Linked DNA regions of Oryctolagus cuniculus. The protein of the gene in region 1 interacts with the protein of each later gene in a pairwise test. Links are inferred from orthologs where the notes say so. Each region holds a gene or a part of one and is shown in the gene's direction. Other genes may lie near its edges.

Region 1 (3,739 bases):
GCTGGAGCCCCTGTCTCCGCGCACCCACAGCCACGCTGGAGGCTCAGGGAGTGGTTCTAGCAGTTCTGGGGCGGATGGGGAGCCCTGGGGGGGTCAGGTGAGTGCGAGAGGCGCAACCCGCAGCATCCAGGCAGGGGAGACCCGGATCCTGGCTCTGGGGGGTTGCATGGCCCTGGGTTCTCGGTGGCCATCTGGCTGGCTCAGGGCACACGTCCTCCCTGCAGGACTCCCTCTCCCTGGCTCACCCGCTGCTCCGGCGCATCCGGAGTGACTCCAGTGTGCACATCCTGGGCTCTCTCCCCTCGCGACCCCTGGCCCCCGAGATGCAGATCCTGGAGGCCCAGATGGAACAGCTCCGCGGGTGAGCGCCACCACTGCTGAGCTTTTAAGGGCACCGGCCGCTGTCCTGCCGCCCCGGGGATGGGCGTCTAAGCCCCGGGGATGGGCGTCTAAACGGGGTAGGAGCGGGGTGGAAACTGGCCCCTGGCTGCTCCCCCCCTCCAAAGAGTCCCCTCGTTTTCCCTCTCCCTCCCCCACCCCGAGACAGAAACATCGAGAAGCTCAAATGCTTCAACCGGCTGCTACTGGCCGTGCTGCAAGGGCGCAAGGGCCGGTGTGAGAGCCTCAGCATGCGGCTGAGCCAGCGGGAAGCCGAGGCTACAGCCCTGCGGCTGGCGCTGCAGGACAGGTCAGGGGAGAGGTCCCCGCGGGGGAGGGGCCGCGAGCCACGGCGTGGGAGGGCGCTCAGGACCCCCGTCCCGCAGTGAGCACCGTGAGGCCGTGTGCGCGGCTCTCCTGGCCCTGCACGAGGCCAGCTCCGGAGCGCGGGACTTGGAGGCCACTGAGAGGGAGGCGTGGCGGCTGCTGGCACAGGAGGAGGGCGGCGCAGACGCCGCGGCACCGCGGAAGGCACAGCCAAGGTAGGCGCCCGGGGACCGCGCTGGGCCTTGGGGCTCCCCGGGGCTGGCCTCCGTGATGGCCTGCGGCACCCACTCCTCCTCTCCTCCCGCAGCCCCGAGGGCAGCAGTGTGGATAAACCCACACCGCAGGAAGTGGCCGCCCTGCTGCAGGGCTATGCCCGGCGTCTGCGGCAGCGCCAGGCTCTGGTGAAGACCCCCCCAGAGCCGGGCCCCACCGTGGAGCCCACGCCCACCATGCCCCACGCAGAAGCCATGGTGCAGGCCATGCTGGAAGCCCAGCCCGGCCCGGCCCTGCCGCGGTTGGAGAAGATGGAGATACAGAGGGAACTGGTGGCCACACGGGTACACAGGGGCTGTGGTCCCTGGGGGGGGGGGGTCAGAACCGACAGAGGTGTGGTTGGGATGGGGAGGGGGAAAGGTTCTGCTGGGCTGGGAAGGGCTTCCTGGAGGGAGAATTGAAGCTGGGGTTTTGAGGGATGAATAGGAGTTTTGTTACTCACAGACCTCTCAATCCAGTTTTTCCCAAACGTGCTCGCCAGCCTCAGTTTCCCCTCCCCGACCCCTCAGGAGACCCTGGCGGACCTGATGTTGCAGCTGCAGCTGGTGCGGCGGGAGAAGCGGGGCCTGGAGCTGCGGGAGGCGGCGCTGCGCGCCCAGGGCCCCGCCCACGCACTCCTGCTGGAGCAGCTACAGTGGGAGCGCGCGCAGCTGGGAGCCGCGGGGCCCCACAGCGGCGCGGGGGACAGCAGCGGGGCGGGCAGCAGCGAGGAGGAGGAGGAGGAGCGGCCCCAGGTGAGCGGCCCTTCGGGGGTCGCTGCCCTTGGCCCCTAGGGGTTCAGTGGATGAGAGAGAGAGAGGGAGAGAGGTCTTCCATCTGCCGGTTCACTCCCCACATGGCTGCAAAGGCCGGGTCTGGGCCAGGAGCCGGGAGCTCCATCCGGGTCTCCCACGTGGGCGGCAGGACCCAAGCCCTGGAGTCGTGGGCCCCTGCCTCCCAGGGGGCGCATGCGCAGGGAGCTGGGGCGCACGCAGATCAGCTGGGACGCCACCAACACTCTGATACGGCCACGGCTGTCCCAGGCAGCAGCCCGCCCCGCGGTGCCACCACACCGCCCCTGCCCCAGGCTTCTAAACGGGGCTCTTCGCATCACCCCTCCCACCTGCAAGCCGGTGCTGCCACCAGGAATGTCCACCGTCTCCAGGAAGCCCTCCTGGGTTGCCCTCAAAGGAGCAATATTCGGCACCCCACCCCACCCCGGCCCTGTGACTTATCTCCCTTATCAGGGACTTGAGGGTCTCTTAGCAGAATGGGGGCTCTGGGAAGCGAGGGGCTCTGGCTGCCCCCCCCCCAGGCCAGCTTCTATGCCCAGGCTGGGCTGAGCACTTCTAGACAGAGGTCACCTCCCTCCCTTCTGTCTCCTACAGGGTCCTCCTGCTGTCCCCAACGCCACCGAGGGAGGCCAGGTGGGCAGGGCGTGGGACCCGGAGAGGTTAGCCCAGGAGCTGGCCGCTTCGCTCGCCAGGTGTGTGCCTGGGTGGGTTCTGCGGAGGAGGCGGGGGTGGGGACGTGTGTGTGTGTGTGTGTGTGTGTGTGTGTGTGTGGTGTGGCAGCGTGCGCCTGCGCGCAGGGGCGTGGGGAGCGGAGAGGAGGACCGGGTCGGGCCGCGGCCGGAGCCCCGCTGTCTCCACTCCCGCGCCAGGGCCGCGGATCTTCGCGCTCAGCTGCGGGCTCTGTGGCGGGAGCTGGAGCAGGTGGCTCAGAAGGGGCGCGTCCGGCGGGCTCAGAGCGCCGAGCTGAACAGCGATCTATGCAAGGCGCACAGGTGGGCCGCCGCCCCCCGCAGCCCACCCCTGCTGACCGCGGGTGTGTCCCTGGGCCTCGTTCCCCCCACTTGGAAGATAGTGAGCGGGTGCAGTGCAGGCCACGCCTTTCCTGCAGGATGCCCGGAGCCAGCTAGGACGTAGCCCCGCCCCCGCGGCGCCCCGCCCCGCCCCCGCCGCAGCCCTGGGTGGGGTGGGGGTGCTGTTCTCTGGGGTGGGGCGCTGTTCCCCGGCTCAGCCACCCACACCCTGCAGTGCCCTGGTCCTGGCGTTCAGAGGCGCCCACCGGAAGCAGGAGGAGCAGCGGCGCAAGTTGGAGGAGCAGGTGGCAATCCTGGAGGCCCGGCAGGCGGAGGAGTTGGCAGCACTGGAAGCCACGGCCCGGGCGCTGGAACAGCCCGGGTGCCCCTGCCCGCCTCCTCCCCCCCAGCTTGGGGAGACCTTGCTGTAGGCTCCACCCCCAGCCACGTGTCATAAACCGGCCTGGAGTGACTTGTCGCCCTGGGGTGCATGTGTCCTCATGGGTGGGGACCGGTTGCCTGGGCCACCGGGGTCAGGCTGTGAAGGTCATGGTCTCCCCCTCCCCCCCCCGGGACCCGGAACAATCAATCCAGGGGACAGGGAAGGTGGCAGAGCCCGAGCTGATGTCCCCAAGTCCTTTCTTTGTCCAGAAACCCAGGGCGGGCCCCTGGGGACAGGACACTCGTCCCCTGCCCATCTGCTTCCCAGGGAACAATCCAGAACAACTGGAGGCCCCCAAGGTTGGGGTTCAGGTTCAGGTTCAAGGCGTGGATGGTCGGCTGGAAGAGGAATCAGGGTTTGTGGAGGCTGAGGGCAGGCATCAGAGAAAAGTCTGGAACTCTCGATGCGTGTCCTTCCGGGGAGGGGGTGGGGCACAGGCCTGCCGGGCCCTGGGCAGCCTGGGAGCTTCCAGATCTCCCGCGGAGGTTGGGGGCAGCGGGAGGCGTTCCTGCCAGGTTAATTGCAGGCGACTGATT
Region 2 (4,181 bases), on another chromosome or scaffold:
GCCCATATGGGATGCTGGTGCTTCAGGCCCCCAGAGTGCACATTTGAGTCCAGGCTCTGCTTCTGATCCAGGTTCCTGCTAACGCACCTGGGAAGGCAGTGATCAGTCCCAGCTACTGAGGGTACCTGAGGAGTGAACCAGCGGCTGTAAGATCTCTCTCTGTCTCTCCCTCTCCCTGTAACTGCCTTCCAAATAAATAAATCTCAAAACTAAATTGCATAAAATAATTACGATGTAAGTATCAATAGCAAAATAGTTGGATTATGAAATAGCCACATGCCAAGATACTTAGGGAAACTGACATATAGGCATTTAGGGATGTAGTCTGTGTTCTTCAGAAATGGAAGGTACAAAAGTATGGTGATACTGGTTTTGTTGTGAATTTTTTGCATGTAACAATTATACGAGACTACAAAAAGTTTGTAGAATGTGGACTTATAAGTTTATTCTGGTGCAAAAAATTGTTAGAAAATATGTATTTTTTTTTTTCATAATACACATCTGTGAACTCCCCAAAACTTTCTGAATCCTTTTTATTTTTACTCATTCGAAAGGCAGAGTAGAGGTAGAGGGAGACAGATCTTCCATTCACGGGTTCACTCCACAGAAGCCCACAACAGCTAAGACCAGGCCAGGCCAAAGCTGGAAGCCTGGAACCCCACCCGGGGCTCCCACATGGGGGCAGGGACCAGACTGCTTGAGCCAACCTGCTGTTTTCAGGGTGGGCACTAACCGGACGCTCATGTGGGCAGAGCTGGGACTGGGGTCCAGTCACTCAAGATGGGGTGTTGGCTTAACGCCCGCACCTGCGTTCGCCTTTTCAGTCCATTTCCCACGAACTTTGTTACGTAACCAAAATGAGTACATTGCCTGCAGCCACCTAAAGGCAAAAATAAGTAAAATAAGGGAGTCCCGAGGGAGCTCAAACCTAACTCCCCGTCAGCCCGCTTAACGCTGCCACGTTTTCAGTAGCTCTCCTAAGGCAGGGGCTGTGGTGGGCGGCGGGGCGGGGGAAGCAGAAGGGACTTCTGACTAGTGACTTTGGTTCCTCTGTCCAGCAGAGTTACGTGCGATAACCAGAGTGGAAGGGACGTGCTCCTCCCCTCCCCTTCCGGATGCGGTTTCCTACATCTGGGCAAGATTCCATCAAGGATCAGTTCCCAGGTCTTCCGGAGAGACCAGGGAAACAGGATTTTCCAATAGGTCACCTCCGCCGCCCGCCGGCGGCAGGTAGCCACGGGGCATAGCGCTCTCGCGGCTGCAGCCCGGACCCGGGGCTCGGAGGACGCCGGGACGGCGCCGGGCGCACGCGCAGTGACCTCAGACCCCGCCCCGAGCCCTGGCGCGGGTTCACGATTGCGCATTGGCGGCTCCACGCCGCGGGGCGGGGCGGGGGCGGGGCTTCGCGAGGAGCCGCGGGCTGCGGCGCCAATCGCCGGGCCGCCCCGCCTCACGTCTGGGTTTGAAATTCCGCGGGGCTCAACGGCTCTCAGAGTGGCGACTCGGAGCGAGGTTGCCGGTGTTGCCTGCGCTCGGGCTGTGGTGGAGTCGGCCGGGGCCTCGACGCCAGGCTGCGTGGAGCGTCCGCCATGAGTGGGAGGTGCGAGTTGCGGGACGGTCGGAAGGGCTGGGAGGGAGCGACGCCGGGCGCGGGTCCGTGGGCCGGTGCCACGTCCGACGGACGCTTTCGGCCCCGGAGTAGGGGTCCCCTCGGTCCGCTCGACTGCGGTCGGGGGGCTGCGCGGCGGGGCAGGGCGAGCCGGCTGCAAGTGCGGGGCGCGGCGGGGTTCACGTGTGCGTGGACGGGGAGACGGCGAGCCCGAGGCTGGAATTTCCTGGTCGTTCCAGCAGCTCCGCAGGCGGGGCTGGCCGGGAGCGGGGGTCCCCTGGAACCGGTCCGCAGGCGGGGCTGGCCGGGAGCGGGGGTCCCCTGGAACCGGTCCGCAGGCGGGGCTGGCCGGGAGCGGGGGTCCCTGGAAACCGGTCCGCAGGCGGGGCTGGCCGGGAGCGGGGGTCCCCTGAAACCGGTCCGCAGGCGGGGCTGGCCGGGAGCGAGGGTCCCCTGGAAACTGGCCGGGAGGGAGGGTGCCCTGAAACCGGGCCCGGCGGCTGAGCCTTGTGCCAGGGCAGAGGCGGAACGCAGGTCTTCTCGCTACCAAAATGATAATATCCGTGCGTGGACTAAGTGCTGACTGTACTTTGTGAAGACAGTGGCAGAAGCCTTAAATTCAGCATTAAATAATCAAACTGGTAGCTCTACAGCCTTTTCTGATTGCTAAACGGATCCGTGTTTTTCCAAATGCTTGCCCTGTTGGAGAATAGAATCGGGTAGAAATTACCGGTGCTACCGAAGGACAGCAGGGTTAGGGTGCTGTGGGTTTAAGCTAGTGATGGAGTCTTGATTGACATCCATAGGAAAGGCTTACTCGCAGTCCAGGTACAGTTACAGGCTGTTCAGGGGCAGGTGAAGGGGTGGGGAGAGTTATCCATTAACTTTGGTTCCAGGCTGATGGGTGTAATTAGACTTTAAACTGGAATCACTCTACTAAACAAGCCAGATTTGGGGCTACATCTGGATTTCAGGTAATCATATATACTTTTTTAATTTGCAAGGCCGAGAGAGAGATCAATCCTACCTGCTGGTTCACTCTCCAGTGCCCACAACACCAGGGCTGGGTGGAAACCAGGAGCTGGAGTCATCCAGGTCCCACCTGGGTGGCAGGAGGCCATGACCACTGCCCAGGGTCTTCGTGAGCAGAAAGCTGGAACAGGGGAGCAGACTTGGGTTTTGAATCCAGGCACTCTTATATGGGAAGCAGGCAGTTTTCCTCCTCACTTGAAAGACAGAGAGAGAAGGGGACAGAGACTGGTTCACCCCCAAAATGCCTGCCACAGCTGGGGCTGGGCCGGGCTGAAGCCAGGAGACCGGAACCCCGTTCGGGTCTCCTAAGCAGGTGGCAGGGACCTGAGCTGCTGCCTCCCAGGGTGCACATTCACAGGAACTGACGTGGGCTCAAGCCTCCCCAGATGCCTGGCCCAGGGATTCCTATTTGGAAAGGAATATGAGAAACAGGCCTCAGAAACATGATGGCCAGGGGACTGCTCGCGGAGTTAACGGCTGGCTGTGCAGGATGGAGAGCTGTCCAGGAGAGACTAGGGCCGCGGTGGTGCCGGCTGCCTGGAAGCAGGGCGGCGCTGAGGGCTCGGCTCTTCCAGCCGGTGACTCATGGCCGAGACTGAGACTGGGAAAGCGGACTCTTACAGCGCGGCACTCTTGGCACCGTCAGGTTTGCAGAGATGTGTTCTAAGAAGACATCCCAGATTCACTCCTTTCAGGGAAGCACTGAAACCGGTCAGCAAGGCAGTGTGGCTGAGCAGCAGTTGTGCACAGTGATCGCTCGGCATCTGAAGGTCGCTGGACTTCTTTAAATTGTCAAGTTAGCCATTCAATAATCTTTATTTTTTTTTTAAATATTTATTTGAAGGGCAGAGTTAACAGCCATAATGGCCAGGGCTGGGCCAGGCAGAAGCCAGGAATCAGGAGCTACCTCTGGGTCTCCCACGTGGGTGCGGGGGCCCAAGCACTTGGGCCATCCTCTGCTGCTTTCCCAGGCACCTTAGCAGGGAGCTGGATCTGAAGAGGAGCAGCGAGGACTTGACCCAGCGCCCATATGGAATGCCGGCATGGCAGGCAGTGGCTTAACCCATTATGCCACAGTGCCAGCCCCTCAGATAACATTTCCTGAATGTCGTGTACAAAGTATGATTCTAAGTGTTAGGGATATAGCCTTGAACAGAACTTGCCTTTATCGTTTACATTCTTTTTGTTTGTTTTTTGAGATTTATTTATTTATTTATTTGAAAGGCAGAGTTACAGAGAGAAGTGAGAGAGCCTCCATCCGCTGATTCACTCCCCAAGTGGCCACAGCGGCCGGGGCTGGGCTAAGCTGAAACCAGGAACCTGGAACTCCACGCAGGCCTCAAGACCCACGTGGGTGCAGGGGCCCAAGCACTTGGGCCATCTTCCGCTGCTTTCCCAGCCACGTTAGTAGAGAGCTGGATCGGAAGTGGAGCAGCTGGGACTCAACCCGGTACCCACGTGGGATACTGGTGTTGACAGACAGCAGCTTAGCCTGCTAAGCTGGGTGGATGATCTGGCCCCATCATTTACATTCTTACAG
Region 3 (4,249 bases), on another chromosome or scaffold:
TCCATCCCACTAAAACATGGCATATTCTATGTCTCTCTCATAGTTAAATATAATCATGTAATAGGCTTCTATTCAAGGAGATACAAGAAATATATGAAACTTCCAATAGGTTCTCTTTGCCATTTCATTCCCTTCTTGAAATGTGAATATGAAGGCTGAAGTTCCAAAAACCATCGTAACCATCTTGGGCCATGAAGTAAAGGCCACACTCTAAGGATGAGAACTGAAGGGGTTATAGAAAGATGAAAGGAATCTGATTCCTTGGTGACTGAGGAGCTCCTCTATTAGCCTTTGACCATCCATCTCTAGTTCTTTACTGTGAATGAAGTACACTTCCATCTTAGCCTAATACATATAGAATTAAGTGTGTATCACTGCTCTAATCTTCCATCCTTAGCCTATTTTTCCCAGTAGCATCAATTTGTAGACTTTGCCCCACTCTCTATTCCTTAAATTTGAATGTTTATGTATATATATATATATCTTCCTTTTAAAAAATAAAAGATTTATTTATTTGAAAGGCAGAGTTACACAGAGAGAGTGAGAGGTCTTCCATCCGCTGGTTCACTGCCCAAATGTCCACAACAGCCAGAGCTGGGCCAATCCAAAGCCTGGAGCCAGTAGCTTCTTCCAGGTCTCCCACACAGGTGCAGTACCACTGGGTACTGCTTTCCCAGGCCACACCAGAGAGCTGGAACTTGAAGTAATGCCCATATAGAATGAGGACACTGCAGGCGGCCACTTTACCCATCAGGACACAGCACCAGCCCCTTAAATTTCTTAAAATTAAATAAGGCTTTTGTCAGCAACAATCCAGGAATCTTTTACTTAAGGTCCTGGGAACCATCTCTTCCCAATGTTAATATCAGGGAAAACAGTGCTCCTATCTCCTCTTACTATGGAAGTTAACCCAAGTGGTTTACACTAATCTTTACGCAACAGCTTGTCATACAGAGAGCAAAGTATTACTTTTCCTTTGCTAACCTGTATTAACTAACACAGAAGGCCACCCCAAAGGTGAACCATCAGAGAGTGGATAACAAATGGTGTTGTCAAGTCCTCTATGTAAGGACAAGCATGTTATGGTTTGTACCTACTTGGCTTATACGAGATTTTTCATTTTGGCAATCTCATCAATGGATTGCCTGTAACGTCCATCCCAGTCTAGTTTGATGCTCACAGAATAACAAAATTTTCTTTTCTATATTTGTGGAAATTTTGAGATGCCAAGATTCCTTTTAGATTTTTCCTCAGCAATATCAATTTCTTTACGTCCACTACCTTAACTAGCCTCCCTCCACCCCAACCTTACTTTTCCCAAGTACTTTCGCCGGTCAATAACTTGCGGCTTGCTGACCTCACAGTTTTCTCGGAACACTCAACGAGAGAACACAACCGATCGGCTGTGAGAACCACGACTCCCAGCATTCCGAGCGCTCTGAGCGCGGCGCACTTCCTCTTCCGGCCCGGAGGCTGCGCGAACCGGAAGTGCTGTTCTTAGACCGCAGCGCGGAGATTGATTCACCTTCACCTGGGCAGAGCCCCAGCTGAACCGAATAGGAGCGGTAAAACATGAACGGAAGAGTGGATTACTTAATCACCGAGGAAGAAATCAATCTTACTAGAGGACCCTCAGGTATGTGCGGAGCGGGCTGTCTTTGGGAGTAGGGGACTTGAGGTGTGCCTTTGCAGAGCAGACCCTCTTTTTGTTGCGCCGGATTCACCTGGCCTCAGAGTAGGCAGGCCCCAACGTAGGAGGTTAGGAATGTTGAAAGAATATATTGATATCCATCATTGGCTAGATGACGGGTCGGATTACAACACGTATTTCTAATCTGGAAAGATTTCTTTTTGCTCATGGTGCTAGAGAAGCCTAGAATAAAACCCGCTGTTTAGCCAGCATTCCGTGGACACACTCTTCCTTCTATTACCTGGTCTCTCCTTGTTCCTTGGAGGATCGTTTAGCCAAATTGGGAACGTAAACTATGTGACCGCTATATTCAAAAAGCTGTACCTATGGAATTTGTATTTATTAAATAAAACGATTCTTAAAAAAACAAAAAAAAACAATGTGAACTCTAAATAAATGCACAGATGTTCTGGTGCCAGGATTCCTTCCTCATTTCTGAGAAATTAGTATATAGTGTCAACTAGACTGTTAAAGCAGGAAGACGCTTTAGAGATCTGTTACAGGAGTTTCCAAACTTGGTTCTGCTACAAAACTATCCAGGCTTTGTTTTTGTTTTTGCTTTTTTATGCTAGTATAAAATTAGAATGCTGATTTCTAGTTCTCATTTCTAGAGATTTGGATTCAATACGAATTTGTTTTTAACAACTTACATGATTCTGATACAGTCAGATCCTTACACCTTCTGTACTCCCCCCTCCCCCAGATATTCCTTCCCTAGACTGAGCTGTTGACATTGCTACTCACTGCCTGCCTTGGACTTGGTTGGCTTTTTTTTTTTTAGCAGTTGTTGAGTTTATTAAGAGCTTTAACCATGGAATTGTACTATCTAGGCACAAAGCTTGTTATCTAACCGCTTACTGGTTCTTTGGTGTATTTTTTTCCACTGAGTGACATTGGTGCCTTAGTTGCTCATCTGTTAATTGGAGGTGATTATAGAATACAATATATAGTTTTTGAGAATGAAATTAATTAATTGATAAAACATCTAAATATATTTGTAAAATAATTAGAGCATTGTCTGACACACAGTAAGCAGTATGTATTTGCTACTACTGTTATTTTTATTGGGTGAATGGCTAGATTTGCATGGTAAATGTTATTGAAAAAGACCCTGTAGAAATCATAAGCCCCATGTGCTCCATCTAAAAATGTTTCTAAAATCCTTTTTTCTGTTCCCAGTGCCACTATCTATAATAGTTAATCACTTTTCTCATCTGGAATTTTGCAGTAGCTTAATCACCACTGACAGATTATCCTTTATAAAATATGACTTGCAGAACTACCTATATTTTGTGTCTTTCTTTTTGTTATATAAAATTGGAAGCTGGTCTTATGGAAATATAATTAAGCAGAGTAACTAAGCCCCTTGGATTCTTTCTTCCTATTTTATAAAATTTTTTTATTTCTCTTACTCAATACTTACCGACTTTAAAGCTAATATGGAAAGCTAGTTTTCAACCAGAATCTGTTTTTCTGTACCTTTCTGCCACTGGTAATTGTTTTTCATATAAGGCTAATTAAAACTGTGCTAGTTCCTTTTCTGATTGCCCTGCACTTATTTTCCCTTGCTTCTACTTTGCCTGGTCTTCCTTTAGCCTAAATATCTTGTTGTAACATTACTTTTTGTGATATTTGAGTTTGGGTTCTTGATTCTTGCTTAAGAATTTAATGTACTTGGCAGTGACATCTGCATCATTTCTAGAATCTCCCAACTAGAGCTGAGCAGAATCTTATTCTGGGCACTAAATAATTTAAATTCAGTATAATATCACTAAATCATTTTTGGCATTTGCAAAGCAGTGTTGCCTAATATTTAGTTCACCATTCACCACAACTTCTGAGTCTGTTTGTCTTGCAGATATAAAGTTCCTAGTGTTTGTATTTTTCAGAAGCATTGGAGTTAGGGCAAACTTCATGGGATTAATTAAAAGAAATTCTATCTAGCTAATATATTGCAACCAAAAGTGGATTAGTTTTTGTATTGTATGTGAGTTTATCCACAGGGTGGTTTCTTGAATTTTCCTAAACATTTTCATGTCTTAGTCACAGAGCCAGGGAACTTATGAGGAGGGTCAAACCACAACTTTAGGATTGAATATGGATAAAAACAGTTATTTGCAATTTGGTTTGTTCTATTAGCAAGGAAAGGTTTCAAGTTCCTATTTATTTCTAGAATTGGTATACTGGTATGTGATACTCTTGGTCTCAGATCTAATTCAGCTTTTCTTCATAGTGTTGTCATGAAGATAAACCACGAAGAAGTCAATAATCATCGTTAGAGTCCTCTATGTAATTTTTGTAATTCCATCGGGATCTTTCTTTCTATAGGAAGAATATGAAAAGTCTCTAACTACGTATACATTTTTTACAGTGAGCAGCATGGTTATTTGTCTTTATACAGCTTCCTACCCTAAGACCTCATCATTTAATGAAGGTAACTACAAGAAAGTGTGTACTGCTCTGCTTTTGTGCCAGTGATCTGGGATATTTCCACTGTTTATGCCCATTTTGCAAGGCAAATTAATCTGTTCCATCTAATCCTCCTTACTACAAGGAAAA
Region 4 (4,158 bases), on another chromosome or scaffold:
AGTTTTTCACAAAATGTTTCCCCCTTGGTCAGACTCATTTTTGCACATTACTTTCCACACAGATATGTTTCACTTGATTGTGGCCACTCTGCGTACTTTTTAATTTTTTAAACAATTTTTTTTAAGTTATATGACTGGCAGAGACAGAGAAAGAATCTGCCATCCGCTGGTCCACTCCCTAAATGCTGCCAACAGCCAGGGCTGGGCCAGGAGGAGGCCAGACCTGGAAACTCAATCTGGATCGACCCATGTGGGTGGCCAGGACCCAAATCCTGGAGCCATCTTGCTGCCTCCCAGGGTGCAGATGATCAGGAAACTGGGATCGGGAGTGGAGCTGGGACTCAAGTCCAGATGCCTATATGGAATGTGGTGTCCCAAGGGGCTTCTTAACTGCCATGCTAAACATCTTCCCCTAAACTTATAAACTGTCGTTTTCATGACAGAGCAAGTTGGCACGGGGCTATCCGCCTTAAAAAAAAAAAAAAAAAAAAAAAAAACAAACAAACAAACAAAAAAAAAAAACACCGCAAAAGTGTAGAGAAGAAATAATACAGCTCAGCTGCAGGGGCCAGCCTGAATGCAGTTAGACTAGAAAGGCCGTGCGAGTTTCTCGGCCTCGGACTGACGGACTGCCAGGAGCCGGGCAGGGATTCCTGACATCGCGGCTACGGCGGTGGCGGTGGTGGCCGGGGCGTCCCGACGCCTCGGAACCCAACACGCCCGCGGAGTCTTCCTGGACTTCGCCTTTCTCCTGTCAGACACTAGTTACACCGAGTAGCTGTGAGGATCCAGTGAGGCTGGGATCTCGTGTGCACGTTTCCACCACACGTCTCCCCGGCGGGAAAGCGAGTTCCTTGAAGACAGGGCCTGTGTTGGCGTCCCGGGGCCTACAGCCGCAGTTAAACCTCGGCACAACCCCAGCCGCTGGTTCTGGCTCCCAGGGCCCGTTCCTAGGAAAACAGCACGCTCCCACTCGCTTCCATCTCCGTCAGCAACTTCAGGTACGCCGGGACCCGCGGCTCAGGCGAGCACCCGCTCCCGCTCAGTGCTCCAGTCCCGAGCAAGGGCCCGCGGCTCCCGCGAGGCCTCGGGACGGGTCGGAGGCCCTGCCCGCCCCGCCACGCCCCAGCTCGCGGCTCCGCGTCCTCCGAGAGCCGGCCACCCAGTGCCTTCGGAGCGGCGGCGGGGCTCGCTGGGGCGGAGAACCCCACGCCCCCGGCCCGCCCCGCGCCGCCGCTTGTTTACTCCCCGGCGCAGCCTAGTCCGACCCTAGGGCCCGCCCCCGCCCGCCGTCTATTGGCCGAGGGGGCGCGAAGGCCGGTCATGATTGGGCCGCGGGAGGCGGAGGCCGCGGGACGAGCGGGGTAGGCTGCGCGAGAGGCCGAGAGGGGGCAGCAGGCGATGGCGGCGGCGGCGGCGGCGGCGGGTCGGCTGGGCTGGTTGTTCGCCGCGCTCTGCCTGGGCAACGCCGCGGGGGAGGCGACGCCAGGTCTGCGAGTGTTGGGCTTCTGTCTGGAGGAGGACGGAGGAGCGGTGCGGGCCGCGCCGGAGGCCACCTTCCGCCTGCGCCTCTTCGGCTCCGGGTTCGCCAATAGCTCTTGGACCTGGGTGGCCCCGAAGGGGTCGGGCTGCCCCGAGAGTGGGTCGACCGCGGCGCCCGAGGAGGAGGCGGGGGCGGCCCCCACGGACGAGTGGCGCGCGCTGCTGTGCCTGCGCTCCGAGACCGTGCGCCCGCACTCGGCGCTGCTAGCTGTGCGCGTGGAGCCGGGCGGCGGGGCGGCTGAGGAGGCGGCGCCACCCTGGGCGCTGGGCTTGGGGGCGGCCGGGCTGCTGGCGCTGGCGGCGCTGGCGCGGGGCCTGCAGCTGAGTGCGCTGGCGCTGGCGCCGGCCGAGGTGCAGGTGCTTCGCGAGAGCGGCTCGGAGGCGGAGCGTGCGGCGGCGCGGCGACTGGAGCCCGCGCGGCGCTGGGCCGGCTGCGCCCTGGGCGCGCTGCTGCTGCTGGCCAGCCTGGCGCAGGCGGCGCTGGCGGTGCTGCTGTACCGCGCAGCCGGCCAGCGCGCCGTGCCCGCCGTGCTGGGCTGCGCGGGGCTGGTGTTCCTAGTGGGCGAGGTGGTGCCGGCCGCCGTGAGCGGGCGCTGGGCGCTGGCGCTGGCGCCGCGCGCGCTCGGCCTCAGCCGCCTGGCGGTGCTGCTCACCTTACCGGTGGCGCTGCCCGTGGGGCAACTGCTGGAGTTGGCGGCGCGCCCCGGGCGGCTGCGCGAGCGCGTTCTGGAGCTGGCACGCGGCGGTGGCGACCCCTACAGCGACCTCAGCAAGGGCGTGCTGCGCTACCGGACGGTGGAGGACGTGCTCACGCCGCTCGAGGACTGCTTCATGCTGGACGCCAGCGCCGTGCTGGACTTCGGCGTCCTGGCCAGCATCATGCAGAGCGGCCACACGCGCATCCCCGTGTACGAGGAGGAGCGCTCCAACATCGTGGACATGCTCTACCTCAAGGACTTGGCCTTCGTGGACCCGGAAGACTGCACGCCTCTGAGCACCATTACGCGCTTCTACAACCACCCGCTGCACTTCGTCTTCAACGACACCAAGCTGGACGCCGTCCTGGAGGAGTTCAAGCGAGGTAACGGCTGGGGCACCGCAGAGGGGATGTCCGTGCCCGAGCTTGGCCCTGGGGAAGGAGAGGGGGCTCATGGGGCCGTCGGGGAAAAGGCCCCACTCCTGGAGAGGGCAGGGGGCCCTCTAAGGGCCGGTTTTAAGAGGGTGGTCGCGTTGCAGATGGGAATGACCTTTTAAAGTGTTTAAGGACCCCGCCCTTCAGAGGGGACAGAGTGCCATGGAACGCAAACACCTCTCTTTCTCTCTCTCTCTCTCTCTCTCTCTCTCTCTCCACGGTGGCCCCCGTGTTGGGGACATACCTCTCACTGATTCTAAACCTCCCGGGTCTTCCCGGCTCCCAGGCCATTTCTGTTGTGCCTGGGGTCGGATGTAGCAGATTGAAACTCTTGGATAGAAACTAAAAGGACACGGAGAAGGTGGCTTCCAGATCCGGGCCTAGCTGCCCCTGTGGTGTCCCCAGGGCGTTGGTGGGGTCCCTGGCTGATGGCTGTTTTTCTGAGTGACAAGGGCATGACTCATCAGTACTCCTCCTTTCCTACAGGTATGGAGAGAACTTTCTCTTTGATTTCATCAGAAGCAGCTTCGTGGATGCTGATTTAATCTCTCCTTCCCCTGACTTCCCCTTTTTTTTAAACCTCCCCTCAGGGTCTCTCAGCTTCTCCTCTAGCTCCTTTTCACCCCTCCTTTCAACCCTGGCTTTTCTGAGTGACTCCAAGGTTGAAGGTAAAACAGGCCCTCAGCGTGTGAAATGTGGGTCCCTCTGCAGCCGTCTGCATTGTCAGCCTTGGGGGTGCTATGTGCTTCTCTCACCTGAACTCCCGCAGGATCGGGGTGGGGGCACCCCGTGCTGTGGACGGGCTGTTAGCACGTGAGCAGAGCCCTCCGACAGCCCTGGCAGGAGTGACCATGGTCCTCCTGCACTGGGCACAGCCTCGGGCCAAACCCTGGTAGGTGCGTTGCACTCCACATGTCTTTTAATTCTTGGACCCACAGCTGTGTCTGGTCTGGTGGACTCTCTGGGGGCCCTGGCTCCTTCCCTTCAACGTGGCCATGCAGCCCTACTCTGGGGAGGGCTTTTGTGTGGGGCCCAGACACAGCGTGCTGGTGGCAAGTACTCTGTCTAGATCCCAAACAGTGGGCTCTCTCGAGGCGTGGTGGTCAGCAGTGTGGCCCTGGAGTCAGCCAAGTGCGTTCCATCCTGCCTGGCCTGCACTGTGCTCCTGGGCCCAGGGAAGGCTGCCTGCCTCTCCCGGCTCAGGGTCCTCAGTGGTTAGCGATAGGAGGGGTAATGAGAGGATCGGGGAGAGGAGATGCGGGGCGCCGGGGCCTGGGTGTTCGTTGCTAGGAGGGTGATGATTGCTCACGGCTGGGAGCTCTGCAGATGGGTAGGTTCGCCTACTCCTGGGGAACCAGTAGCAGAGGTCACACTGCAAGTGCAGGCTTTATCCCTTCTGCGTAGGGAACTTGTATAGAGGCCACAGCTGTCCCTTTGATGGCCTAAGCTGTCACATTTCAAGGTGTCTTAAATGCTCGGCTCAC
Region 5 (4,033 bases), on another chromosome or scaffold:
CCGTGCTCGGCGTCTCGCTCGTGCTGGTGCTCATCGGCTCGCACCCCGACCTCTCCTTCCTGCCCGGCGCCGGCGCCGCCCTGGCTGTGGAGCCCGCGCAGCCGCTCAGCGCCCGGAGGAACCCGGTCGACGTGGACCCGTTCACCTACCAGAGCGCGCGGCAGGAGGGCCTGTACGCCGTGGGCCCGCTGGCCGGGGACAACTTCGTGCGCTTCGTGCAGGGCGGGGCGCTGGCCGCGGCCAGCTCCCTGCAGAAAAAGGAGGCGGGGCGGCCGCCCTAGCGCCGGCCCTCGGCTCGCAGCAGCCAGGCCCTGAAGAGGCGGGCGGTCAGCGCGGCCCGAGCGGGAGCCCCGGAGCGGCAAGCCGGCCTCTGCCCGCAGGAGGCGGCAGGGGCCGTGAGCCCAGGCGACCGGCCTTCCGGGTCAGAAGCAGTGGGGAACTCACCCTGCCCCGGCTTAGCCCACGGCGGGAGCGAGGCCACAGCTGGGCCACACCTGGGACGTGGGCGGGAGGCTGCCAGCAAGAGCGGGGGTCGCCAGGGGCCAGCAGGGCACCCAGCCACGAGGACTCCGGGCCCCAAATAAAACCAGTGCCTGCCTCCACTCCTGAGGACTGTGCTTGGCGAGGCGGCTGGGTGCACAGCCCTGGGCGCAGGGGAGGGGGTGGGGTCCTGGAGGAGCTGTAGGGGAGGGGGTGACAGGGGACGGGGCCCTAATGTGGGGGCAGTTGATTGGGCAGCTGGCTGGAGCCGCCTCTCCCCTCCCACCCTGTTCCAGCCGCACTGTCTGCTTTCAGGCCCTTCCTGTGGGCCCCAGGGCCTTTGCACAGCCCCTTGAGCTCCTGCCTTCCGCTCTCCCAGCGTAAGGATCACTCCCTCTAGGGTTGAGCTCTTGCTGCTCACTCATCGGCGGCATCATTTCAGGGGCCGCCTCTGCCCACGTGGTTGGGAACAGTCCGTGTCTCCGTGTCTTTCTTGCCTGGCACCAAGCAGGAAGCCTTCGCCCGCTGGGTTCTTCGGCACCAGCCCCTCAGGGGTGGGGTCCCTTCTCCGGCCAGGGGCCACTTGGCTATGTATAACCTCAGGTTAGCCTGCTGTAGCCGCAATTGCAAATCCCACCTGCACTTGCCACGCTTGATGTCTGTGGCCGTGGGGCGGGCGCTCCCCACTTCCGCTACAGACGATGGGCAGGAGGGGAGGGCGCTCACAGGCGTGGGGGGGGCAGGTGCACGAGTGGGTGGGTAGTGAAGAGTGTGGGCGCGTGGAGTGGCAGGGAAAGGTGCTCTGGGCGCCCAGAATGGAAAGGGAGGTCCGAGGGGGCGGCAGCCGGGCCAAGGGGATGGTGGCTGCCCCCCCCCCCAGCGGCGCGGAGCAGCAGGCGCAGGGCGCGGGCCCCTGGAGCTGCAGCCAGCAGAGGGCGCTCCGGCCCCTGCAACGGCGCCACGAGTGGGAGGAGGGACTTTGGGGGGTAGCAGGAGACTTTCAGGAGGTAGCCCCCGGGGAGCACCCCGCCCCCCAAAACCTACCCCGGCGCTGCGGGAAACCCCTCCACCTCCGGGCCCGCTGGGGTCACCAGGCCGCGCCCCGTCCCCGGCCGGCAGCCCCCCCCCGAGGCCGCGCCCGGCTGGCGCGGGTGGGGGCGGCGGAGCCGGGCACGTGGCTCGGGGTCCGGGCCCCCCCTCCCCCGCGCCCGGCCCCGCGGTGTCCGCGGCCTCGGGGACGGAGAAGCGGGGCGGGGCGGCGCGGGGAGGGGGTCGTGCGGGGGCGGGCGGGGGTCGGCGGGCTTCCGGGCGGCGGCGGCGGCGGCGGGCGCGATGTGCGAGCGGGCGGCGCGCCTGTGCAGGGCCGGCGCGCACAGGCTGCTCCGGGAGCCGCCGCCGCAGGGCCGGGCGCTAGGCGGGCTGCTGCGCTGGGTGGGCGCCAGGATGGGCGAGCCCCGGGCGCCGCTGGTCCCCGACGCCCCCGGCGTCCCCGCCGCCCCCGCTGCGGACCCCGGCCCCGGCCCCGGCCCCGCCGCGCTGCGCGGGGGCACCGCCGTCATCCTGGACGTGAGTAGGACCCCGCCGGCACCTGACGCCCCCTTCTCCCCGCGGGGGACCCCGGCCCAACCCTCAGCGCGCCCCTCGGCGTCCCAGAGCGCGAACTCCCGGCCCCCCCCCGTGTCGCGGGTCCCCCTCCCGGGACCGAGACGACCCCCACCCCGTCCCCTCCCTCGACTTCCACGAATCCGCGCCGTCCCGGAGCAGGGACGCGGAGCCGCTGGGACACCGCCCCCCGGCTTTCCCCCAGCGGGACCCTCACCCGCGGCCCCTCGTTCTCTCCGTCCCGTGTCCCTGCCCCGAGTGCTACTTTGGAGAAGCCCTGGCCCCCAGCTCCGGCTGCGAGCCCTGCTCCTGTCGTCCCGGCAGCTCCTCGGCCCCCAACGTCTGCTGGAAAGTGGAGCCCCCTCCCCACGTCCCTCTTCCGGCTCCCCTTCCACAGCGCCGGAGCGTGGTCCCCGGGGACTTCCCCACCGGCTGGCTCTGTGCCCCTTGGGGGTCTCCCAGACTCACCCTTCACCCACCCACCCCGGGGCACCTCCTTCAGAGTGGGAGGAGGCGCAGGGGGGGGGGGCTCTCCGTGGGTGGCAGCGCAGAGGCTGGACTGGGGCGTGGGTGCATCCTGCGTGGGTTTGGGGAGGGGCGTGGCGTTTCCCCCGGTGGGCGAGTGGGGTCCGGGGTCTCTTCCTCCTCTCTCTACACTCCTGGAACCCAGGCCGGTCTAGGTGGAGAGGGCCGGGCAGGGCAGGGCAAGGCAAGCCCCAGTGTGAGGAACCCACCCACCGGAGCACCGGGGGCTGCCCCCTCACCCGCAGCTGGTGGCCCCAAGACCCTGCGGGATGGGGGTGCGGGCGGGCTGGGAGCCTCCTGTCCCTCATCTGCCAAGGGGGAGATGACCGGGGCAGAGGTGCCCGGCAGGGGCTGGAGCCAGCGGTCACCCAGGCCACACGCGGACCTCGGCCAGATTCCGGGATGCCCAGGTCAGGCCGCAGCCTCACGGCAGCTTGGGCACTCAGGAGCGGGGGTCGTGGGCCCAGGCTGGCTCCCATGGGGGCCTGGGTGGGCTGAAGACCCGGCGCTGCTGCCTGGGCCACAGTGCCAGGGTCCCGGGGGCCATCCCAGCCCCCTACCCCCAGTGCCGGTTAGCCAAGGAGGACACGGCGGCTGCGCCAGTCCTGCTCAGACCCCCTGCTGCCTGCAAACACAGCAGGGAATTTGGGGGTGTCAGTGCCCCTCCCCCGGCCTCAGTTCGTCTTGGCTGGACTGAGGTGGGGGCTGCTTTCAACCCCGGGACCCCTCTCAGGCGGCAGGGCACTGGGAAGCCTCCCCAGGGTCCTGGTTACCATGAGGGCTGTGACTCGGCGGCCCAGCCCTCGGGGTTTCTCCCAAGTGCCCAGGAGCGGCAGGTGCACCAAGGCCTTCGTGGCCGCAGGTGTTAGCGTTCGGCGCCCAGGTGTTTGGTGCCCAAAGGGGAGGGACCCTGGCGTTAGAGCCCCTTCTGGGCTCTGGCCCTGCGCGTGCTGCACCTTGTAGGGTGATCCATGGCTCTGCCCTGCGCCTGCAGGTGTCGCCTGGTCTCGAAGTTCAGGCTGGGGTCTCCTGTCTGTGCTCCGGGTGGGCTGCTGCTGTCAGCTCCCCCACCCAAAAATAACGCCCTCCAGCCCATGGCTGATCCTCCCTCACCGCCTTCGAGGCTCCCAGCCTCCATGGAGACCCCCGCGGCGTTCTGAAAGGAGAGCGTTGGTAAAGCGAGGGGCTCTCCGAGGCACCGTGTGGCTGCGTGCCCAGCGCCGGGCAGTGGGCGAGCTGGGAGGGCCGCGGCCGGCCACCTGCGGGGATGCGTGTGGGTGTGAGCGTGCAGGCGCACGCCGGCTCTGAGCATGGCTGTGGGCAGGCTGGTGCCACAGGAGGGTGTGGGGCGGCGGGCGGGGTGGGGGCTCTGCCTGCAGCCTCCCTCCCTGCCCCTGGGTCCCGGAGAGGCTGGAGCTGCTCTGGG
Region 6 (3,961 bases), on another chromosome or scaffold:
GGCCTGGAGGGTGAATTTAGTCTAGTGCCCTTAAAAATGTCTTTTTTTTTCTTTCCCCCTCTTGACAAGTCCACGTGATGGACTTTAGGAAAACCCGCAAAGCCCTGGCTTTGTGGTACAGTGGGTTAAGCTGCAGTTTGCAATGCTGTCATCCCACAGCTGGAGTGTTGGCTCAAGTCCTGGCTACTCTGCTTTCCATCCAGCTTCCTGTTAACGTGCCTGGGAAGGCAGCAAAAGATGATCCAAGGAGTCGGGCCCCTGCCACTCACATGGGAGACCAGGATGGAGTTCCTGGTTTCTGGCTGCTGCCTGGTGCAGCCCTAGCTATTAAAGCCATTTTGAGGACCTCTCTCTCTCCTCTCTCTCTCTCTGACTCTGCCTTTCAAATAAATAAAGTTTTTTTTTAAAAAATGTACAACAAAAACATTCAAATAAAAAGAAATTAACTACTATTATTATGTGATTATGCATATATACATATTGCGGTTACATATAATATGTATGCATAGGACTTTGAAGCAACTTTTAATAATTCAACATTCCGTTAGCATTTCACCATATCTTTAAATATATTTTAAGTGCATCATTTTGGTGGCTGCATACTGTTCCTCACCAGACCGTGGCGAAGGATGTGACGCGGGCCCTGCCGCGGTTAGGTTACACGAAGCCACTGGCACAGCGTGCATTTGCGTAACCAGACCTCCTGATAAGCGCTGCTGTTTCCGCATCATCTCACTAAGCCGACTACTGCTGGGTTACTACTGACATTTGCTCAGTTTGGAGCCACTTCCTTTGCAAATTTCGGGACGGCCGGATATGCAAGGTTTTAGAAAGACCTCTCTTCTGACGGACAGGGACAGGTCTGCGGTCACACAGCAAATTAGGGACAAAGACAGGACTAGGAACCTGCCCGAGGCCCCGACTAGTGCCATTTCCAGCTGGATCCCCAGAGGAAGGCCTAACCCGAGAAGTAGGGAGAAGACAGGAAAAGAGCCAGGCGCCAGCTCCCGCAGCCGCCGGGAGGACACCGGGCCGGCAGGGGCGGGGCTGTGAGTCGCCTCCAGCGCGCAGCCGAAGCTAAGCGGTCGCTTGGCAACCTGGGCGCCGCGGCGTTCGAACGGAAGCGAGGAACCAATCAGGAAGTCCGGAGCGAACCATTCCGGGGAAGTTGCGGGGTGGGGAGCGGCGGGCCCACTTCCCTTTCCTCCGCGACCCGGGGACCTTCGCTCCGGGGAGGCCTTCGGAAACACCGGGACACCTGCGCGTCTCAGGTGCCGCGCGCAGCTCCGAAGAGGCTCCTGCGGGTCGCCGCGCGGGGCTGGGACCTGCCTGCGTTGGGCGCGGCCACCCCCGGCCCGGGTCCGAGCTGTCAACCTCACACGCCTAGCGCGGGCTCCAGGTGAGCTCGGGGGTGGTCCCGGTTGCGAGCCCGGGTGTTGGGAGTTGCGTCCGCCCAGCGCTCCCGGGCGTCCTCCCCGCGTATGATCTGCGTGCCATTTCAGATACGGAAGCTGAAACTCAGAAGGACGAGGGTCCTAGGCCGTCTTTTTTTACCCCTGCGCAGCCGCTAAGGCTAGGCAGGTGCAAATTTGCCTTGAGAGGCCCAGAGGTAACCGGCGGTTGCTTTCCCAGTCTGTCCTCGGCACGGATACGGCCCTTGAACTCCTGGCTGGATTACCTTGCCCACTCGGCACCGTCCTCAGGAGACCCAGCGCGCCTGGGGCCCTTCTGCTGTCGGGGGTTCTGAATCCCAACACCCCCTCCCAGGGCCCTCTTTCTGGGGATGGGAGGGGACCGACGTTTCCAGGATAGATGCCAAGTGGGCAGTAGATTCTTGAACCCTCGGAGACGCTGTTGTCTTCTTGGGAACCTGCCTGGGGTCGGGAGAGGGGTTGAAGCAGTCCCTAAACACTGGGGGTGGGGTTGGGGCTGGGGCCCTCCAGGTGGAGCCTCTGAGCTGGGCCAGACCCTGCTCTGCCTCCTGGGGACCCCTCTCCCTGCACCTGCTCTTGTTGGTCTCCTTTGGTAGGTGGGGGAACAGCTTCCTCCTTGAAGGAGGTAGGCTCCTTGCCCGAAGTCACCTGGTCCATCTGGCTTCAGTCTTAGAATCCTCCACTCAGAGAACTGCAGAATTCGAATCCTGAATCTCATCACAAGAGAGTTACTTATTCTCTTCCCTTCTGGACCCGTTTCCTGGCTTTGGGGAGAAGAGCTCAGAAAATTCAGAAAGAAAAGCCTTTCATCCATTCCTTCCACAAATAGTTATTTATTTTCATTTTATTTGCAAGGCAGGGAGACAGACAGAGAGTGATCATCCATCTGCTGGTTCACTCCCCAGATGCCCACAACAGTCAGAACTGGGCCAGGCTGAAGCCAAGCGCTCCGAACTTCATCCAGGACTCCCACGGGGGTGGCAGAGTCCCAAGCACTTGTGCTACTTCCTAGGGCGTGGGTGGGTACTTCAGTATGGGCTGTGGGTGTCCCAAGTGGCGGCTGAACTGCTGTGCCCAGTGCCTGCCCTCGGGAAGTGGTTGTTGACTGCGTGTCCTACCCTCCCCTGATGTCTCATTTTCCTCGTTTGCTCTGTCCTGTGTCCTATAAATTCTGCTTGCTAGCGAGTTGATTATCTTCTCCCAGTAGAAGGCGATGAAGGTGGGGGCTGGGAGGAGGCATGCATCGCTGGCACACACTTCCTGCGGTGGCCGTGATCTCCGTCATGGAGTTAAGTGAAGTGAACCGGTGTGTTCCCCTGGTGAGGCACAGACTTGTGTGGCTCCTGGGGCACGCGGTCCTATCTCTGCTGCAATCGCCAATGCATCCCTTGGCCCCAGCCGCCCCATTTCAGGCAAAATGTAGGCGCAGTGACGCTGCAGCGTGGTTGGTGACAGTGGCTGTCAGTGGGGACCAGGGAAACAAATGGGGGGGGGTACGCTCTGTCTACTGACGTGGCAGCAAGAGCAACATACTGTGCGCCAAGGAAGAGCAGGTGAAAACAGTCTACGCAGCGTGGTGCCATGTGTGTACAAAGGAAATCATTAGTGTTCATACTTGCTTGGTTTTGCCTAAAATTTTTCCGGCCCCAGTGGTGCCTGTGGGGGGTGGTGGTAGTGAGGACAGAGGTGGAGGGAGTTGTGTTTTTTTTTTTTAACTTTATTTCCTTTATAGTTTGAATTTTGAGCCATGTGCATGCATTACCTCATTGAAAACAATAATCATACACACACACACACACACGTGTCTCATGAGACCGTCACTCTGTATGACTTGTCTCTGACTTGCTGTGTGACTTTGGCAAGTTTCTTCACATCTCTGGGCTGAGATGAGAAGCCAGGATGGTGAGCTCAGGTCTGAGCAGAGGGCAATCTAGGCCGTGAAGTGGGCTTGGCTGTGCGCCTGCCTCAACGGCCAGCCTCCGCATCCTGGGCCGGGCCCTTCCCCGAGGCCCTGTGTGTGGTGTCTCTCGTTCCATTCCCACTACGAGCCCCTCTGTCCTCATTTTGCAACCTCTGGTGCCAACTGAGGCCCGGGAGATTGGGTCCTTGGGGGCGGGCATGCGGGCAGGCCAGGCAGGAGTTCAGTGCCCTGGGCATCCACACCCACACCCCTCCCACAGCCTGCTCGGCTCTGCCTTCCTGAGACGAGGGCAAGGCCGGCTCCTGGGCAGGCCAGGGCACGAGCGTCTGGGAAGCCTCCAGAAATAGCTTGAGGCCTAGCGTGGCCTTGGAGGACGCCCAGCCGGGTGTCTCTGCCCTGGACAGCTGGGCTGAAACCGAGCTGCGGCTGCTACTGCTTGGAGCCTTGCTGATCCTCTGCTGGGGCAGGCGAGGGCCTCACCGTCTGCACCCAAGGCCAGGAGAGAAGCAGGTGGAAGGAAGGGGAGGGGCCTCCTGCCCACTCCACAGAGGACCAAAGTTCCCAGCACCACTTGAACGCTGACTATGTGCTAAGCACTTGACAAGTG

The links. The genes of interacting proteins can lie anywhere in the genome.
Region 2: the proteins of USHBP1 (region 1) and PRC1 interact in a two-hybrid assay, tested with the Homo sapiens proteins (2 studies listed by BioGRID and IntAct). The link is inferred for Oryctolagus cuniculus from reciprocal best matches to the Homo sapiens genes USHBP1 and PRC1.
Region 3: the proteins of USHBP1 (region 1) and SYNJ2BP interact in binary tests that used the Homo sapiens proteins (3 or more experiments, as listed by UniProt). The two-hybrid records come from large-scale screens. The link is inferred for Oryctolagus cuniculus from reciprocal best matches to the Homo sapiens genes USHBP1 and SYNJ2BP.
Region 4: the proteins of USHBP1 (region 1) and CNNM3 interact in binary tests that used the Homo sapiens proteins (3 or more experiments, as listed by UniProt). The two-hybrid records come from large-scale screens. The link is inferred for Oryctolagus cuniculus from reciprocal best matches to the Homo sapiens genes USHBP1 and CNNM3.
Region 5: the proteins of USHBP1 (region 1) and NECAB2 interact in binary tests that used the Homo sapiens proteins (3 or more experiments, as listed by UniProt). The two-hybrid records come from large-scale screens. The link is inferred for Oryctolagus cuniculus from reciprocal best matches to the Homo sapiens genes USHBP1 and NECAB2.
Region 6: the proteins of USHBP1 (region 1) and FAM110A interact in binary tests that used the Homo sapiens proteins (3 or more experiments, as listed by UniProt). The two-hybrid records come from large-scale screens. The link is inferred for Oryctolagus cuniculus from reciprocal best matches to the Homo sapiens genes USHBP1 and FAM110A.

Annotation. Positions count from the first base shown.
Region 1 is NC_091447.1:65,254,492-65,258,230, reverse strand, and holds the end of USHBP1 (harmonin-binding protein USHBP1), read left to right. Parts: coding exon 1-97; intron 98-224; coding exon 225-361; intron 362-547; coding exon 548-688; intron 689-764; coding exon 765-920; intron 921-1,012; coding exon 1,013-1,262; intron 1,263-1,487; coding exon 1,488-1,712; intron 1,713-2,345; coding exon 2,346-2,443; intron 2,444-2,620; coding exon 2,621-2,743; intron 2,744-2,996; coding exon 2,997-3,192; 3' UTR 3,193-3,239; downstream 3,240-3,739.
Region 2 is NC_091443.1:100,286,682-100,290,862, forward strand, and holds the start of PRC1 (protein regulator of cytokinesis 1), read left to right. Parts: upstream 1-1,381; 5' UTR 1,382-1,589; coding exon 1,590-1,600; intron 1,601-4,181. UniProt on the Homo sapiens protein: Key regulator of cytokinesis that cross-links antiparrallel microtubules at an average distance of 35 nM. Essential for controlling the spatiotemporal formation of the midzone and successful cytokinesis.
Region 3 is NC_091451.1:16,186,463-16,190,711, reverse strand, and holds the start of SYNJ2BP (synaptojanin-2-binding protein), read left to right. Parts: upstream 1-1,449; 5' UTR 1,450-1,572; coding exon 1,573-1,636; intron 1,637-4,249. UniProt on the Homo sapiens protein: Regulates endocytosis of activin type 2 receptor kinases through the Ral/RALBP1-dependent pathway and may be involved in suppression of activin-induced signal transduction.
Region 4 is NC_091433.1:110,906,312-110,910,469, reverse strand, and holds the start of CNNM3 (metal transporter CNNM3), read left to right. Parts: upstream 1-1,358; 5' UTR 1,359-1,401; coding exon 1,402-2,623; intron 2,624-4,158. UniProt on the Homo sapiens protein: Probable metal transporter.
Region 5 is NC_091449.1:65,750,950-65,754,982, forward strand, and holds the start of NECAB2 (N-terminal EF-hand calcium-binding protein 2), read left to right. Parts: upstream 1-1,233; 5' UTR 1,234-1,812; coding exon 1,813-2,046; intron 2,047-4,033. Other genes in the region: OSGIN1 (oxidative stress-induced growth inhibitor 1), read left to right, coding at 1-281. UniProt on the Homo sapiens protein: May act as a signaling scaffold protein that senses intracellular calcium.
Region 6 is NC_091442.1:26,831,846-26,835,806, forward strand, and holds the start of FAM110A (protein FAM110A), read left to right. Parts: upstream 1-1,161; 5' UTR 1,162-1,399; intron 1,400-3,961.